Schizosaccharomyces pombe: one gene and its partner. The protein of the gene in region 1 purifies or fractionates together with the protein of each later gene. This does not show direct contact. Each region holds a gene or a part of one and is shown in the gene's direction. Other genes may lie near its edges. The genes, in order: mnh1 and fal1.

Region 1 (3,721 bases):
GAAGTTTTTAATTGAAAAAGGATAAGCCCAGAGTTCATTTTGGACGTTGTTATACCAACCTCCATGGAATCTATTAGTTCACAAGCCTTCACAAATCTGGTCGGAGGAATCAGGTTTGCTTTTCTTGACCGATTATAGATGGCCCAAGCCTGGGTCATGGTAACCGTATCGGTATCAGCTTTTAACCTTGTGCGTAAAACTTCTGAGATACTTTTACATAGTTCAATATCATACAATCGAGAATTAGCCGAAACAGGAACATTATCTAAATGATTTCCTCGTAACACTCCTAACTGATTCGATTTGTTTAAAAGCTGCTGTACCTTGTCAGACTGTTGAGTGCCGGTCAGCCCATCCATCTTTTCAGCAAATTGGTCAGCCAGAGACATAGTATCTTTCGCTAAAGAAAAAAAAGCATCTAAATCTTGAAACGCATGTACTAAGGTACGTCCATTTTTGGCTAATTGCATCTCATGAGATTGCTCAAGATCATGAATACCACCCATTCGCAAAGACTTTTCAAGGATGGCCTTCCTCAGAACTTTAGTATCATATTTATTCGAGTATCTTTGTTTTTCTATTTCATCTGTTTCAGATTTGATAGCTTCGTAAAACTTGGATGAACCCGAGCCTCTAAACGAGAGTTGTATAAGCTGGTTTCTATCGACATTTTTTAATTGATTGCCGCAAATTTCACAAGTATTCAGATCCGGATAATTTTGAAAAGTACACGCGGTGCATAATCCTTGAGAAAAACGCGCATCTGATTTCGGCTTTATAATAGTAAATCGGTTAGCAACTCCACAGTTTCTACAAGGATTAATGGGATCACCCACATTGATAAATGTACAAATTTTGCAAGCCCATGACTTTTCCACATGTCGCAGAGAAAGGCGAATTTTTGGGGAGGAGCGAAAATACCTAGAGGTATGCTGTACATCTCTTATATCGGAGATTTTAATTTTTAATGAATTCTTTTTAGGATCTACTGAATCTACGTAGAAGATGTGTTTTTTTGTCAAATATAATGTTCCATTATTATGACGAAAACTTTTCTCATCTCCGAAGTATAAACCTACCTGGTCTTGAACTAGCAAAATTTCTTCTGAAGGATCCAAAACCGGTAGATTAGAAGGGGTTGTTTCTAAATAAAAGGCCATATTAGAAGGAGAGATTAACCAAAATGATAATTGTCAAGTGAATTAAAACTTATATAACATGTCATGTGCCTTGGTTAACTAGTCGAGACCAACAATTGATTTGAGATAATCTGTGAGTACGACTTTCGCTTTATTTAGCTACCTTTAAAAAAAATATTTTTGGATGACAGCTGTGAATGTCGATATATAAATAACATAAATGAAGCCTGTCAAAAGCTCGATTTAATATGTTACAATAAAAAAATCAAACCGTAGTCTTAATAAAAAACAACCCAAGGATCACAAACTAGCGATAAAAGATGCAACAGTGCCAGAATAACTTTTGTAAATGCAGTGAAATAAGTCGTGGAACGTTAAAAGGTCCCAGAAAAATAACTTGTCAAGATTTAACCTGAATTTGGAAAAAGCCTTTAAGGAATTAAAAGACTTTGATTTACAGATATAGACTTAGCAGTCAATATATAATGTCAACGAATTCATCAAAGATACACTGTATATTGAATTACCCACGAACTTTGATTGTCGAGCTCCAAAAATTGGATGCACTAGTGTATTGTGTTATTTAAAATAGTGAATCACTATATGCTTCGTATCTTTGACCAAGAGTTTACCTCTCAGCAGTAGTCATCGAAGCCATCATATTCCTATTTGCTCGAAAATGAGTGATTTTTATGTTCGATACTAGTATGCAAAAAAGCTGTAAATAGTTTTGAATGCTAACTGACTGAAGCTCGGGACACCATGGTCGATTCGGACACGAGTTCTTGGGTACGCGATAATATTAGACGCAAGGTCGCGCAGCTAACCAAACATTTGCTAGAATTCGATTATCATAGTGATGGGCTAGGTATGAATAGAGTCAACAATTTTCTGATTCATATTAGCAACAGTGGTTTGACATGAATACTAATTCAATTAGCTAGATACGCAAACAATTCTAACTATCGGAACGATTCGTTAATCCGAAAGGAGAGTATGTTTTAGTACTACATTTCTGTTCGATCGTATTAACAAAGCCTTAAAGTGTTCGTCAGTGAGCTTGTTTTAAAAGAAGTTCAACGTATTGTAGATGACAGTGAGATCATAAAGCAAGTCATTTCTTTCAATTTTTTATACTAACTACTATTTAGAGAATCAGATGAAAGTTGGCCACCTGAAAATAAAGATGGTAAGCAGGAACTTGAAATTCGTATGAATGGAAAACACATCATGTTTGAAGTAAGATTGCTCTTCATTTGGCATAAATATATTCATTCTAGATACTTTTAAGCTAATATAAACTACTAGACCTGTAAACTTGGAAGTTTGGCAGACGTTCAAAATAGTGATGATCCAGAAGGGCTAAAAGTTTTCTACTACCTAATTCAAGATTTAAAAGCATTGTGCTTTAGTCTCATCTCCCTAAATTTTAAGCTCCGACCTGTTAAAAACTAGATGCATTCCATTTTCTTATATATTAGGGCGAAAAAGTTTTATGTGAAACATTGGTTTACTATTTGGGTTTGATTACCTTTGTTTCGTTTCTAAATGTACAGTCTCAAAGCTGAAAAACGTTCGAGCTTTAGGAAGGAATTTCAGTTTTTATGCTAAATTAACCGTATTGCACTTTTAATTCCATATCATAAGCGGTTAAGAATTGACTATTTATTTGGGAACATCTTAGAATATGGCAACCATTCCATGGTAGTCGCGTTACAAAATCTTTTTTTCAATAAGATATCAAAAAAATCTTGAAATAATTTTAGCTATATTAAATAGACACTATTTGTATAGTAATGAGCGATTCACTTATTTTGTCTCAATAATATTCTTCATTTAAATAAGAGAAAAAAAAGGTAAAGTATTTCTTATTGTAATTAAAAAAAAAATTTCAATGTCTTGAGCACTGTAGTGACATGGTGTCATTTACAGAATTGGCATTTCTATTGATGCCATAGTATCGCCTATTTAGCTGTTAACCTTTCTCGAAGACATGATATGTTATATATGACCTTGGTTGATCAATTGAAGAGCTTTGTTTACCCTTGAACATATCTGTAAAACTGGATGCAGTCGATGAAGGAAATTTGCGTTCCGCCAACATGCCGGATTTATCACTCTACAAACAGACTGTAGATTTATACCTTTCCATTGCTCCTGGACACAGCAGGGATCCTTTAAATGCTATTCAGGAGCATATGGATAGTATGATTCTTAGCAAACTCCCAAGAATCAATGGAATAGTGTTGGCGTACGACAATATTCGATTCCTGGAAAAAAGTGCAAAGGTCATGTATGACTCCCCATTCTCCTTTATATGGGTCCGTGTAGACGTTTTAGTATTTTCTCCCAAAAAAGGCGATTGTTTAGGTATGAAATGCTTAGAAATTCGAGATTCTATGATGGATTTGTATCATGATAATTCAGTCGTGCAAAATTTTATACCAACTCCAAAATAAATGCTAACTATCACTAGAAGGAAAAATTAATTTAGTCAGTCCAAGTCATATTGGTCTATTAATTTTGGGTATTTTTAATGCATCTATTCCGCGAAAATCTATACCTAAAGATTGGATTTTTAT
Region 2 (3,905 bases), on another chromosome or scaffold:
GGTACTTTGGTTACTTTTCCGGTCATGATAGATTCTACATGACTTTTGTCTTCAATAAAAGGCCTTATGATATGCTTTTTATCCGTCTGTATGGTTGTCTTCGGCTTGCATCTTTCAGTAATATTCATTTTAGTAACTCCAGATGTCGTGAGTTTATGATGTTTGTCAGCATCGCGAATAGAATACGATGTAGTAGAGGATCGTGGCAGTGTCTCTTTGCAAAATGAAAAACTATCTTTAGTTTCGCTTGTTGTATCCAACTGCTTACTATAAAAATCCAAAGCTTGAATAACTGCTTTCGGCTCCTCCATGCATTCTTGTTTGGTAATCGAACTACTCTGAAGTAGCAATATCCACTCCTTGGGTAATCCGACATAATTTCCTTCATTATCAATTCCCACATGCACTTGGTGTTTAGGATTCATCGGACTTGAAACTTTGCTAGCAAGCGCACGAGAAGATATTAAATCCATCCACTCATAACATTCCATATTATCGGCCACGGACAATTCACAAGCTTGAATCTCAAAATTTTTGGTACTACTTTTGAACCTCAATTTAAAGCAGAATGTCCTAGACTTTGAACGCTCTACTTTTTGAATATCCTTCAACAGCAACGTAACCTGAGCACTTTCAGACTTGCTTCCTTTATATATCGACAGAGAATTGCTAGAAAGTACTAGCCACTTTTTAGTCCAAGGGAGATACTTCATTTTATCTTCCTTCAGCATAACCCATCCTGATCGAATGATTCCCTTGCTTTTCTTTGTATCTTTGAGAGATGGAATTTCAACCGGCACGCCTCTTACACTTAAAAGCATTTTGAAAACGATGCAATAGTTTTGGTATACATGCTTCTTTTATACATTTTAGCTCAAATGTATAAACAAAGAAACCCCATTTATAAACAAAGAGAATGCAAAAAACAAAGAAATGTTATGAAAAGAGAAGTCAATTGACGTCAACAGTAGTGGATGAAAAGTAATTCTTAATTAATTAGATTAAGTCTTACAATTGCAATTTGCAATCTTATCGCAAGCGAACATGACATTGGTTACAAGATTCATGACAACGCTCACAAATGTAAACTGTGTATAGCATTTATAATATCTGAGAGTGATTTTAGGTAATTTTTAGCATGGAAATGTATAACTGAATTTATGCGAAGTGGTGGGCAATTCTGGTTAGGAAACATTAATTGATAATGGGTTTTGACTAGCCGATAATTTGCATGTTAGTGCTAGGAGAACTTAGATTGCTAAAACGGAAATTAGTATAACAATTCTAGGACGAATTGAAATGTTGTTTAGACTCTTAAGGGTGGTGTTCAACCATTGCTCCAGTTGTAGAAAATTAATGTAAGACTCTCATAATTTTTTCGTGTAATGTCTAATTCTAAGAAACCGCTAGTTTACTTTTTATACCATTATCTAACAAGTTGGGAGTACTGAAAATAAACAACATGTGAATAATAAGTTCATCTAAACTTCTTGTCAATATTTAATAAAGCTTTCCGTACAATTGAAATTTTTTAAAGGAATATTCTTTTATTTTTGTAACTAACCAAGCTTTCTATTTGCTTGTCAAATTTTCTCTCCTTCATTTTCCTCAAGTTGGGCTGACATAACATAACTACTACAACTTCCATTATGGCGGACGAAATAATGGAGAACGTGGAGCTTACGACATCGGAAGATGTGAATGCTGTATCCTCTTGTAAGTAAATTATATTTTTTTATAATATGAATACTTACTGTGAATGATGCTAACATTGTTTTGCAGTTGAGGAAATGAATCTTAAAGGTTAGTTAATGAATTGATAAAAATTTCCATAATTTTGTTCTAACAACATGCAGAGGATTTACTTCGTGGAATCTATGCGTATGGCTATGAGACTCCGAGTGCTGTGCAAAGCCGGGCGATTATTCAAATCTGTAAAGGGAGAGACGTTATCGCACAAGCTCAATCTGGTACAGGGAAAACAGCAACTTTTTCTATTGGTATTCTTCAGTCGATCGATTTATCAGTCCGAGATACTCAAGCTTTAATACTTTCTCCTACGAGAGAATTGGCAGTTCAAATCCAGAATGTTGTACTTGCATTGGGTGACCATATGAACGTTCAATGTCATGCTTGTATAGGCGGCACATCCGTTGGAAATGACATCAAAAAATTGGATTATGGACAACACGTTGTTTCTGGCACTCCTGGGCGCGTAACGGACATGATTCGTAGACGAAATTTGCGAACTCGCAATGTTAAGATGCTTATTCTTGATGAAGCGGATGAGCTCTTAAATCAAGGCTTTAAGGAACAAATTTATGACATTTATAGATATTTACCCCCTGGTACACAGGTGGTAGTTGTGAGTGCTACCTTGCCTCAAGACGTGTTAGAAATGACTAACAAGTTTACCACTAACCCTGTTCGAATATTGGTCAAGCGCGATGAACTTACTCTTGAAGGCTTAAAACAGTACTTTATAGCAGTTGAAAAAGAGGAATGGAAGTTTGATACTCTGTGTGATTTATATGATACTTTAACCATTACACAAGCTGTGATATTTTGCAATTCTCGTAGGAAGGTTGATTGGTTGACGGAGAAAATGCGAGAAGCTAACTTTACCGTTACCAGTATGCACGGTGAGATGCCGCAAAAAGAAAGAGACGCTATCATGCAAGATTTTCGACAAGGAAATAGTAGGGTTCTCATATGCACAGACATATGGGCAAGAGGAATTGATGTTCAGCAAGTTTCATTAGTGATCAATTACGATCTTCCTGCAAATCGAGAAAACTATATACATCGCATTGGTCGCAGTGGACGATTTGGTCGTAAAGGTGTAGCTATTAATTTTGTTACAAATGAAGATGTACGCATTCTTCGGGATATTGAACAATACTATTCTACTGTTATAGATGAAATGCCTATGAATATAGGAGATATGGTTTAAATTTTCCATTGGAAAAAAAAAGCTGGTTTTTTTTGGATTATTGTACAGATTTGGGGGAAAACTTTAAAATAATAACTGTATATTTAAATTAATTTCCATTTATGTTACCCAAAACTTTCTATGCGTATTTTTTTGGTGTCATTTAGATCATAATTTTTTGGTTGTAAGATCCTGCAAAAGAAAAGTATTAGCATTTTCTCCTAATAATAAATAATCTGAGCATTCGTAGCAATTCAATATTAGATGAAACCTCAAAACTGATTTGCAATTTGTTAAAGCCAAGCTTGCCAAAGTTGATCCATTTGCGCCAGCTGCTGAGGATTAGTTGCTTGAGATACTAAATCCACCAAAGTCTGATTCAGTGGAAGGTCCTCTGGTACATTATGAGATATGACCGATATTCGACGAAATAATAATTCAACATTTACTTTCACGGTTTCGAACAGCTGGATTCCCTGAGGAATTGGCTTTCTTTGCTGCTTGGACCACCAGAAAACTTCATCACGAACATAAAGACTTAGATACTGCTTTATATCAGTAGTAGGACTTGATAGACTTTGCGCAATGCTCATTACTAATCCCGAAAGTAATCCTTCAACTCCCAAATCAGAAATGAGGTATTGTATTGGAGGCGTTAATCTAAACGGAACAGCCTCAGTATTGTGAAATACAGGTTGGTTGGAAGTCATAGAAGGTAAAAGGTCTTGCGACATCACCTGGCCAGAATCCTTCACTATGAACAGCTTTTGAGGGGATCGACCTCCAATATTGAATACATAAGTCATAATAATCATGTAAGCATATTGCGTTGTAAATGTCCTGCGGAAAAACCAAAAGTCACAGTACCTTTCAAAGGTTTTATAAAAGTAGTCATAGTATATGCTTTCAGGGAAAACTGATGAATTCAGTGTTTCGAGTAATTGCATACGCAACTGCAACGCTCGTTGACGAA

What was found.
Region 2: the proteins of mnh1 (region 1) and fal1 purify together in Schizosaccharomyces pombe (affinity purification with western blotting, with the first as the bait; one study listed by BioGRID). This does not show direct contact.

The regions. Positions count from the first base shown.
Region 1 is NC_003423.3:4,000,751-4,004,471, reverse strand, and holds mnh1 (protein mago nashi), read left to right. Parts: upstream 1-1,776; 5' UTR 1,777-1,818; coding exon 1,819-1,844; intron 1,845-1,890; coding exon 1,891-1,928; intron 1,929-1,980; coding exon 1,981-2,007; intron 2,008-2,079; coding exon 2,080-2,133; intron 2,134-2,184; coding exon 2,185-2,248; intron 2,249-2,290; coding exon 2,291-2,378; intron 2,379-2,447; coding exon 2,448-2,594; 3' UTR 2,595-2,943; downstream 2,944-3,721. Other genes in the region: ESCRT II complex subunit Vps36, read right to left, coding at 1-1,160; DNA-directed RNA polymerase I complex subunit Rpa43, read left to right, coding at 3,242-3,509, 3,616-3,721.
Region 2 is NC_003424.3:270,068-273,972, reverse strand, and holds fal1 (ATP-dependent RNA helicase), read left to right. Parts: upstream 1-1,630; 5' UTR 1,631-1,649; coding exon 1,650-1,716; exon of another isoform or gene 1,717-1,782; coding exon 1,783-1,803; exon of another isoform or gene 1,804-1,856; coding exon 1,857-2,953; 3' UTR 2,954-3,080; downstream 3,081-3,905. Other genes in the region: PAK-like kinase Shk2, read right to left, coding at 1-821; phosphatidylinositol kinase-like protein Tra2, read right to left, coding at 3,226-3,905. UniProt on the Schizosaccharomyces pombe protein: ATP-dependent RNA helicase involved in 40S ribosomal subunit biogenesis. Required for the processing and cleavage of 35S pre-rRNA at sites A0, A1, and A2, leading to mature 18S rRNA.